Linked DNA regions of Drosophila melanogaster. The protein of the gene in region 2 purifies or fractionates together with the protein of the main gene of each other region. This does not show direct contact. Each region holds a gene or a part of one and is shown on either strand. Other genes may lie near its edges.

Region 1 (5,333 bases), on a different chromosome or scaffold from region 2:
GAGGCTCTCCCGAAATACAAATATTGTTCAAATACTGAGGCTTCTCCTCAATCCAATTTGCATTTGATTTTTAGTCTTAAGCTGAGATCCAAAGAATAAAGTCGTGAAACTATTTCTCCTAAAAACTATTTTTTATTTCTTGGCGTTGTCCTTAGTCAACTGACGGGACATTAGTTCGACTCATAAATAAAACAACAATTTTACTATATGTATGTAAAAGTTTAGACTGTCGTACCAAGGCATAAATTAAAAACAGGAAAGGTAGCTGGTCACCAGTATTTATTATTAAAAAAAACACGTACACATGCATGTGTACTAATTGTACTTAATGATCAAACCCAACGAAACAAAAATTTCTTTTCTTGTACTCTCAATTAATTTGTTCGAGTCTTCTTATCGTAATAAAGCAGAATATAAATGTTGTACAAATCGTTATCCAAAACTCAACCAAAAAGATGCTTTAATACTTTAAAATTTACTTATTTGTAGCAGCTTTCCGCATAGTTTAAAAAAAAAGTGTTAAACTCTGGTTACTTATGTTAAGCTACTTTGCATATCTTCTCTGCATTATCTTCTCTTCTCCAAAAGGTTGATTTAAAACTCAAATTCATTTGCGTAAATGAAAAAAAATGAAATGAAAAGACGGGCATGGTTCGATGGTTGAACCGACCAAGAATATATATTCTTTGTTTGCTTGCAAATGTCTCATTAAATATGTAGACATATTTTAAAGACTTTTATAGTGCACCACAATTACGGAAATCATAGCTATAATCAAATTTAGTAAATTAAATACAAAAAAAGAAATGTTTCATTATTGTTATTCATAAAAAGGTTTATGCGCATGTTTTTTGGTTGGACTCATATTAGGCGTGGTCAAAGCTTGAAACAAAATTGCACTCTAAATTAGATTTTTTATTATAGGCTTGTTAAATTCAGCCTGGATAGGCTGAATTGTTCAAAAGTGTGGGAGTGATCGTTTTGCCATGCCCACTCTAACCGCCCAAAACTGCCACGCCCAAATTTTGTAAAATTTTTCGAAATTTTTACATAATCTTGTTAGTCTTGTAAGTTTCCATCGGTTTGCCAAAAAACTAACTTTAGCCACACCCACTCTAACGCCCCAAAGCTACCATTTTTTTCTCATTTTATTTCCCAATATCGATATCCCAGAAAAATGATGAAATTTCTGCTTTGCATTCTATCTATCTGAGTAACGGGTACCTGAAAGTCGGGGAACTCGATTATAGCATTCTCTCTTATTTTTGTTTAAAATTTGCGTGTCCCTTGTTCATTGAGAAAGATGTACATATGTACATACTTGTGTCCTCTTCAATTTGCAGTAATTTTCTATGCTCATCCTTCAACAGTAATTGAAAAGCTTTATCTCAGCGATCTTCTATAAAAACATACGAACTCCAATAGAAAATGCTTTTTAGTCTCACTCACCTCACGCAATTCACATAGTAATCTTAACTTAATACATACATATATATTACTGTACAGTCGTGGGAATTGGCAACTTCATAATTAGCGTCGAATTCACAGCCGTGAAGACGTCTGTCAAAACCGGCTAGCATGCGGCTGACGCATTTGTCCCAAACACTTGTTTAAAACACCAGCAGCTGCAAGGAAGCCGACGCCAATTTAGGGGTTGTTTCCCTACGTCGTAGTCAGTTGGTTCTCTTAGCCATTTGTCTCTTTGCCGTTGGCTGACGACTTGCCGCCTTCAAGTTTGTTTCAGTTTCAATTTGACCGTCGAATGCAGAGAACGTCGGTACACCGCTCTTGCTATTGCTATCGGCCAGCTAAAACAAAAACGACCTGAAGCCATAAAAACGCGTGTGAATGAGAGGCCAACGAAATATCCATAGCATAAGTGAACAGTGAGCCAGTGAGCGCTTTAAATAGAAAACGCGAAATAGTCAACTCGATGGAACGCAAGTGTAGGAAATAAATCGCCGTCTAGATTATTATAGCAAAATTGCCAAAATAACCACTTGTGAGCCAAAGTGACACAATGTGAAGAGCAAACGAAAATATAAAAATAAATTAAAAAACAAATAAATAAATGCAATAGGGTTAACTTAAACATCACAGGGGAAGGATTATCAAAGGCCCTGATCCAAAATAAAACGGTATAACCTAAATATCATAATCATGCATACCATAATACAAACTACTAGGTTATGTGCTTGCAACAAGTAGTAAGCGCCCAAAAAAAATGTAATAATTTGTCCGAGAAATAATATTGGAAAGCACTTTTAAATGAGCAAGCGCTCAAATATTGGTTGCAAAAATATATAAAATCTTTTATACCTATATGTATATTTATATATAAGAGTGGATATACGCGAACTTTTGTGCACACATATAGAAATTTTCGTACATTGAGTGTACGCGCACAAATACATACATATTTACACATGTGTGTGTGCATACATACATCTATACAGCAGTGCCGGCAGAAAAGAGTCGGGCTAAAAGAAATTATATCACTGCCCGAATCCGTTTTTAGAAATAGTTTGCAATGAATTTTCGTTGCTTTATATTGTCGATGTATAAATGCACATATATCTTTACGTATATATTAAACAACATACATATGTACATATGGAAGAAGCCAGCTAATATAAAAGCGCACACATGGCGTTTAAGTAAAAGAGACTAAAACTATATTTTTAAAACTCATGGGCTAATAAGGTTAGCAGTGTTTCTTAAACCTTAACAAGGACATTGATTTTTTACTTATTATCAAGCCGAGCAACGATTTTAATACTTTGAAGCCTATTAGATTAAAATTTAATATTTAAACGAAACAATTATTTAAAAACAAAATTTAAAACAATCGGTTACCTAACAGAATACAAATTTTTTAAGGATAGGCTTAATGTGTCAATAAATTCTTACTGTTATCCGAATGAACAGAGGGAAATTCAATACAAACTTTTGGTGAAATACGAAAGTACGTTGTGCTTTTAGGACGGCCTATTTACCAAAACATATGACTTGCCATTGGTTAAAGTCACATTCTTCCCTTAAATGGCTTATCTATCACTTCAATACTACATTTGTTAAACCGGTTAATCGTAGAGTAAAAGATTCTACTAGATTCGTTGAGATGCATGTAACAAGCAGATGGAAGTCTTTTCGACCCTCCAAATGATATATATTCTTGATCAGTATCACTAACCAAATGGACCTAGTTAAGTCAGTACCTAGAAGATAAGAACTGATATAAAGCATGCAGATTCTAGAGACGGATGAAATTGTTTGTTTGGGAGGCTTGCGACGCTGCGCAAGTTTCCGTCTAATTGTTACCACGCCCACTCTAACGACCAAAGCCGACCAAAACTGTAACGCCCAAACTTTTGATAATGTTTTAATATTTTTCCATTTTTGTATACGTTTTATAAATTTCCAACGATATGCCAACAAAATTTTGCCAGGCCCACTCTAACGCCTACAAACCACCCAAAACTGCCACGCCCACACTTTTGAACAATTTTTATTTCATTATTTTTTTTCACATTTTCTATCACTATTGCAAACAAACTTTAAATTTTTCGTTCAAGCTGCGAGTTGAATTACGGGTATCTGTTAGTTGGGTCTATTGTCTTTGTCAAATTTGATCGATATTGCACATATCCTGTTCCACCCATAATAATGGCGTTCTCTTTTTGAATTATTCGTATAGCAGCTAAATGAGATAGTGTTTCGATCCGACCCTTTTCGATTTATATACTATCTGCCAAAGAAAAAAAGGTTTATGGATATCGATACTATTTATCATAGCAAATATACGTGACCAAAATGTTGTGGCTAATCAATAGCAAGACAAAAAGAAAACACAACAACAACTTTTTAAAATCTTTCGACGTGGCAGTGGTGGGCGTTAGAGCTTTCTAGCTTTTATAATTCCTGAAATCTCGACGTTCATACGGACGGACAGGCAGGTGGACGCACAGACGGATGGACATTGTCAGAACCACTCGGCTAATGGACCTTGATTTAGAATAATTGTACTAAATATAAGCCGAAATTTTTCCGTTTGCCTGTTATATACATATACTTTTCAACCTCCTCTAGGGTAGTGTATAGCTGAAACGCCATAATCAAGTCTCTCGACTATTAGATGCCTTCCCTTAGCAAAAGAGAATGCGAAATAGATTGATATATTCTAGTTGGAAAGGAACTGTCCTAGACTGGACAGGTGCACAGCAGCGGTTGCATTTATTGCTTTCGACTTTAAATACAAACTTCTGAAGTAAGGGGTTATTCGGACAATTTGAGTATATGATGATTTAAACAGCTCAAAGAAAGCTGGGTTCGGAAAAATCGAATTTTTGAAATTTAAAAGCTGGAATCGTTTGCCCATGTTTGCCCACCAATTAGTTTTTTTTGCCCACGTCCAGTTTTTGAGATATGAATTTTCGAAAAAACTGTTCTTTGTAAGAAACTTTGCTTTTGGCGCCACAACTTATAGTTATTACATACATATACAACTTTAGTTTTAATAGGTGAAAAATCGAAAAAACCATTATTAAGGGGTGGGCAATCAAAATTATTTATTTTTAAGGGTGGGTAAACGAAAAAAAAACAAATTTTAAAGGGTGGGTAAACGAAATAATTTATTTTTAAAGGGTGGGTAAACGTTAAAAACTGATTTTAAAGGATGGGCAATCGAAATTATTTAGTCTTAAGAGTGGGCAAACGTTAAAAACAAATTTTAAATGGTGGGCAAGCGAAATAATTTATTTTTAAAGTGTGGACAAACGTTTTTATTGCAAATTTTTATTTTAAAGAGGTGGGCTAACGAAATTGGTTATATTTTAAGTGTTGGCAATCGAAAAAAATTTAAAAATTAAAAAAAAATTTTTGAAAAAAGTGAAATTTTTGATTTTCGAATATTTTTGCACTTTTGGAAAATTCATATTTCAAAAACTGGACGTGGGCAAAAAATACTAATTGGTGGGCAAACATGGGCAGAAAATGGACAAACGATTCCAGCTTTTAAATTTCAAAAATTCGATTTTTCCGAACCCAGCTTCTTTGAGCTGATTTAAACATGTTTACTTCCATGTCTCTATAGGGGTTTGTATTTTGTGGCGTCACATACAATAGATCGAATAATTATCAAAAGTATGAGAGTTGCAATCCTCTCAGTAAATCTTGCGCTTTGTAATTGTCACTAAAATCTGTTCGCTTAGTCTAAACTTTATAGTTCATATAAAGTTCCCGATATCTCGAAGTTCCTACGGACACACAATAACATTTATGCTATCTTGTTTACTTACTACAATATTTATGTATCTATCTAACCAGTCGTGGTA
Region 2 (5,472 bases):
ATGAGTCATTCGGCCATAAAACACATAGTTATAGTAGCTCCGCGGCCGCACACACTTTTAACTGCCCTTGAATAAATAAGCTTCGATTACGATTGTATCAACTACAGGACATCCACGTTGGACGAACAAGGATGCTGCACTTGTCTCGGGAGAGCGGGACGGAAAATTTCATTCGTTTCCGCGTTTGGAGGCGGTCCTAACGAGCTCCACTCGACATAGGGGTGGAAATCTGACTTTCCGGCGCGTGTCGTGCACTGCGCGAAAATTCACCGCATTTCCCCAATTGACTTGTCACAGCATGTCTAAAGAATTGGTTTTGGTTTTAATTTCATTGATTGCATCGCTGTCTGTTGGCTCTGATCTAATCTTCACTCAGAAATCTTCTTTTCAATGAATATTTCTTCAAAATCTGAATATTTTCCAAGCTCCATCTTTAAGCGAACTTTTCTTTGAGTGCACCAATTTTCACAGGCCTCAAAAAGCAACACTCAGAAGATTAAATTGGCTTATCGGGCAACCATGACGCTGGGATGTCCTGTCTGAGCGATTAAAGGAAATGCTTCTCTGGGATAATATAAAAAGTAAGAAAAATGAAAATCCTCTTTACGTTGCAATAACTCTTAAGGAACAGCCAAAGTAACATAAATTATAAAATATATTTAAACTTCATATATGAAATGGAAAGGGTATCGGACAGTCCGTCATCACGAGTACAGCACTTCGCCAACTTGATAAAACAAATGGTGTTGTACCGCACACAATGGATAAGAGACACCTTACTATCTTTTCTTGTTTATAACATTGGGCTGATTGAAACATTGTTTAAAGTCACTGGCAGGATACAACCCCTGTTTTCGGAAACAATTATTTGCTCTGCGGATTATTTCGATTAGTTAATTCCTGCTAATCAGAGTCCTGCCTAATTTTTATTTACTCTGCGCTGAAGTCCTTTTTTTTTTGGACACCCTAATGCTGGATTGCTAATAGGATAGGCTGGTTGTTCCATGTGCTGAAGCCATTTAGTTAAATTTTCAAAGAAAAACAGTTCCAAATTCAATGTATCTATCTTCGGAAACAATTTCATTGGGATCAGTTTAGTCAAACATACGAGGTAAAAGTTTAGAATGTGCCTCTTTTTCCAGTTGAAAAATGGTCTTAGTTGCCTTTGTGGATTTTACACATTTGCATGGTAGAGTGAGCCTTTTCTTTTCTTAATCAACGAATTGGAACGACTAAGTCTCTAGGAAAACAAAGCCACCTAATAGATGCACATCATGCTCAAACTAACACTCGTGCAAAAAGAAACTCTACTTTGTAGTAATCATTACTTAAATCGCAAGTCTATGTAAATCGGAGAATTGTTATGGCAATCATAATAATACAACATTACGACATTCCGAAAGTTTTGGAATAAGTTACTGTGTTACATTTTAGGTTAAAATATATCCAATATATGTGTAAAATTATAACCTTTCCAATTGTAATTGTATCAAACGCAAAGATATGAACTCATTTTACATTTAATAAATAGTATAGTAACCAGATGTTGGAGGTGATCGACCTGAACGAAACCCACCTGCATTGTTTGCTTAACCCGATCTCAAACCCACCCCGAAAATCCTGTAAAAACAGCAACATATTATTTAGTTATAGAGCATCTAAATGGGAAGCTAGTTTAAGTAGGTTTCAACCTAGTTGTGGGTGCAAATGAGCCTGGAACTACATGCATCGAACAAGTATCAGGTTCTATTGAGTCATTCTGAAAACAACTAACGTTAGTTTGGAAAACATAAAGTAAAGAAAAAGGGTTTATCATGCATAGGTGTGTGTTGCACTTACACACTAACTTGGTATAGTGAAGGCTTTTTCTTTTGCTAATCACCGAGTTGGAACGACTAACTAAGTCTTTACAAAAACTCAAGCATATGGATATACTTAAACCTATGAGTAACTGAACGGCTAATACCCTAAGATTTATTCAATTGTAAACAAATTCGAGAAATTCGACTTAAAAATGCCTTCTATCGGAATTTCAACAGAATTACAGGAATGTTAATGATCCCTATTGCCATGGAGACAGCATATTATTAACGCCAATCGTTACAACAGCCCTTAACTTCGGTCGAGAAGAAGAAAAGGTCCTTAAGGACTACGCTCGACACCCCCTGTCCTTTAACGGTCTTGCATGTTACCCTCGACTATCCCTAGTTGTAGGAGTGCGCCTCAGCTGGGCGGCCAACTGGTTTTCAAATAGTCAACGGCAGCTAGGAGCAGCGGAGAGTATCGAAGCGGAAAGGTTGTGTCCAACCCCCACACATGCAGGGCGACTTGGTTGGTGGTGGTGCCTGGCCAGCTGCGGAGCGATCTCCCCACATGTCCATGCAAAGATCGTGCTTGTGCTCCGAGAGTCGCGCACAAGTCAAGTGGCACGGGCTATGCGAGGAGGAGGAGGGTTAGGGTAGGAGGATCGTGTGCCGGAGAGGAAGTGCCGGCATTATCTCGGCTAAATTCGAATTCGTTTGGTTACGCTGCGTGGTCTTGGCCAAGAGCTCTCGTTCCTCATTTCTCGGTTTTCAGTTTTCGGTTCTCTGGCGGCCAAGAGCATTTAGTTGCCTTAGTTGTACCATGCCGAGCGGACCGCTGAGTTAGGATCGGTTGAGAAGTCTGGCATACGAGTGGAAGTGGAAGTGTAGATAGGATAGTGACCGTTATGGATACCCTGCTGATCGCCATTCTGGCCATCGGACTGCTCCACAGAGGTACAGCCAGATCCTGTGGCGATCCAGCCAGCAACCGATATGGGAAACGCGATTTTTAAATTAAGAAATGAAATCATTCGGAAGGCGCATATAAACGAATTTCGAATGCGCAAACCTTGAGAAAAATAATGACAAATCGGATATCTATAAATACGAACGTATATCCACATTCGGTTCTGAGTTAACATGTGCTAAAACGGAATATAAACAATATATAAACAATATATAAACAATATGTGCAGATTCGATTATCCTTTAATTTGTGGATTTGAACGGGCTGAAGGATTTTACGTGCAATTATTCGTGTTCGAAACTATATGTTTTTCAATGTGGAAAAAGCGCCAGTGGTTTTGAAGTCGGAGCAATAGATGCTAAGTGGAAAGCAAAAGATTCCAGCGAAAGGAACCTAATAAAATTGAACAGAGTTTTCAGAATTTTGGCACACATGATGACAAACTGCCGAATGAAAAATGTTCAATTTTCTAGCTTTTGTTTGTTATTAGTGTCTATTTTTAAAACGAAACAGGCATCCGCTCATCGCGTTTTCGCTTCTCGTAAATATACGCTTTCGCCAAATTATATAGATTTTTGTGTACAATGTGTTTTGGATTTGCCTGTGCTGCATATGTACATATATTCCAAATAATACCGCGCGTGTTCTGTAATTTCGAGACCTCGTCGTGCTAAAAGCTTTTCGTTTCGTTTCTGAATTCTGCGTTCTAATCAGTAATATTCGCTCTCCCCCAGATGCGCTATGCTATCCCACGAGGGATGAGTCCGAGGACAAGATTATAGTCCTTCAGAACGAGGAGATGGAGCCCACGATCCTGGACTGCGACTACGAGGTGGAGGAGAGCCCGAAGTTCATCACCGTCAAATGGTACAGAGACGACAAGTCCATATACCAGTGGATCTTCGGAACACCTCCATATGCCATCGTGAGTGAACCAAACGGTGTGGTGCGCTTAAGATACTAACCGCTTTCCCCTCCTTGATAGCCCGAGTTCAGGAACGAGATTGACAGCACCTATGAGAGCTCCACGGAGCCGAGCAAGCAGTACAGCTCGCTGGCTTTGATCAACCCCACGATCGCCACCACCGGCGACTACAAGTGCGTGGTGCAGACCTCGCTGAACACCTTCTCCAGCCACCAGAGGGTTCAGGTCATAGACCTGAGGAACTACACCCTGGAGCTGTCCCACAAGACGATCCACAATGAGACGCAGCTGAACTGCACCGTGACGAACGTGTATCCCAGGCCCACCATCACGATAATGTAAGGACGAGCGCCTGCCTTGTCGTAAGACAGCCTTGTAGTAAACAACGTCCCAACTCAACTCCGCTCCTATTACAGATCCAACGACATGGACGTGGTGAAGCGGGAGCCCATGGTGTACGAGAACGAGGAGGGATACTTCGATGGCAGCGCCGTGGTGGCGGCCTACGACACCGACGACGATCCCGATGCCTACCAGTGCGTGGTGTCCTTCGAGGGATACGGCAAGAACCTGACCACGGTGGCCACGTCCGCGGCGGCGGGCAGGAGCCACGTCGACTTCAGCCTGTGGCTGTTTTGTTTTCTGTACTACCTGCTCTGCAAGCTGAAGGTATTGGCCTAAATAAAAGCGTTGTTATTTATTGTTACTAAATTAATGTTTATTGAATTCTGTTTGCCATTCAACTACCTTTTCTACGCCCCTTCGGCCTAGTTAACCATTTTGTAAATAAATACGAATACTTCACAAAACCAACTACGTTAGTTAACTCTTAAGGTTGCTCTGGAAATGGATGCCGTCCTTCTCCGGCGGGGCTTCTAGATTTTAAATCTACGACTGCCCTTGTCGGCTTACAGCTATTACATTTTGTAAATTAACTCGGCTTGAACTCGAACTCCATGCGAACAAATGAAAATATGGGCTGCAATTCGGAAATGTTGAATATTTCTGTTTATTGATATGTGGAGCTGGAGTCCAGCAGTAGATTGGAACAGCCGTTCAGGTAGGCCTTGTGCAGCTTGTTGGCAAACTCCTTATCGTTCTGGATAAGGTACGTGAAGGCCTGGACGAACTGCGTCGAGTTCAGCAGTGGCTGCTGTGGCTGCTGTGGCTGCTGTGGCTCCGGATTGCCGTTGTTGGGCGCGTCGAACATGGTGGGCGGCATGAGGGCCGGCCCGGGCTTGTCGCCAGCCAGCAGTCTCCGCAAGCACTTGCCGGCATCGTCGTTGGCCATCAGCGCCGACGAGGACGGGGCGACTGTCGGAGATTGAGCCGTAGCGTAGCTTTTACCGATCTTCAGGTCGCTCAGGAGCTGAATGTTAAGCTGCTGCATCTTCTGGAAGGGCGACAGCCGGCTCTCGTGATTGTCCCTGCCTGCCGGGGGCAACAGATCCTCGCCAGGCGTGGCTGCCCGCTGCTGTTTCTCCAGCTGGTCCACGGAGAGCGGCTGGACGCGGTGGAACAGTGACTCTGCCGTGGCCTGCTTGGCCGATTCGAAGAACTTCAACACATTGCCGGCCGTTACGTTCTCCGCCGAAGGCGTCTTCGGCTGCCCGCCGCTCACCTGGGCATTGTAGTCCTTCTGGGCCTTGGTCAGCATGTTGAATATGCTGGCCGGCTGGCTGCTGTCCTGCTTTGGCTGCTGGGGCGCGGAGACGTGACGCTGGGCCTGGCCATTCGTTCCCTGATCCTTGGACTTGAGCAGCCCGTTCACCAAG

The links. The genes of interacting proteins can lie anywhere in the genome.
Region 1: the proteins of CG5597 (region 2) and nrm purify together in Drosophila melanogaster (affinity purification with western blotting; one large-scale study listed by BioGRID). This does not show direct contact.

The regions. Positions count from the first base shown.
Region 1 is NT_037436.4:22,996,629-23,001,961, forward strand, and holds the start of nrm (neuromusculin), read left to right. Parts: upstream 1-1,743; 5' UTR 1,744-2,138; intron 2,139-5,333.
Region 2 is NT_033778.4:23,884,368-23,889,839, forward strand, and holds CG5597 (uncharacterized protein), read left to right. Parts: upstream 1-2,605; 5' UTR 2,606-2,710; coding exon 2,711-2,759; intron 2,760-3,506; coding exon 3,507-3,697; intron 3,698-3,757; coding exon 3,758-4,035; intron 4,036-4,113; coding exon 4,114-4,378; 3' UTR 4,379-4,410; downstream 4,411-5,472. Other genes in the region: DCP1 (decapping protein 1), read right to left, coding at 4,707-5,472.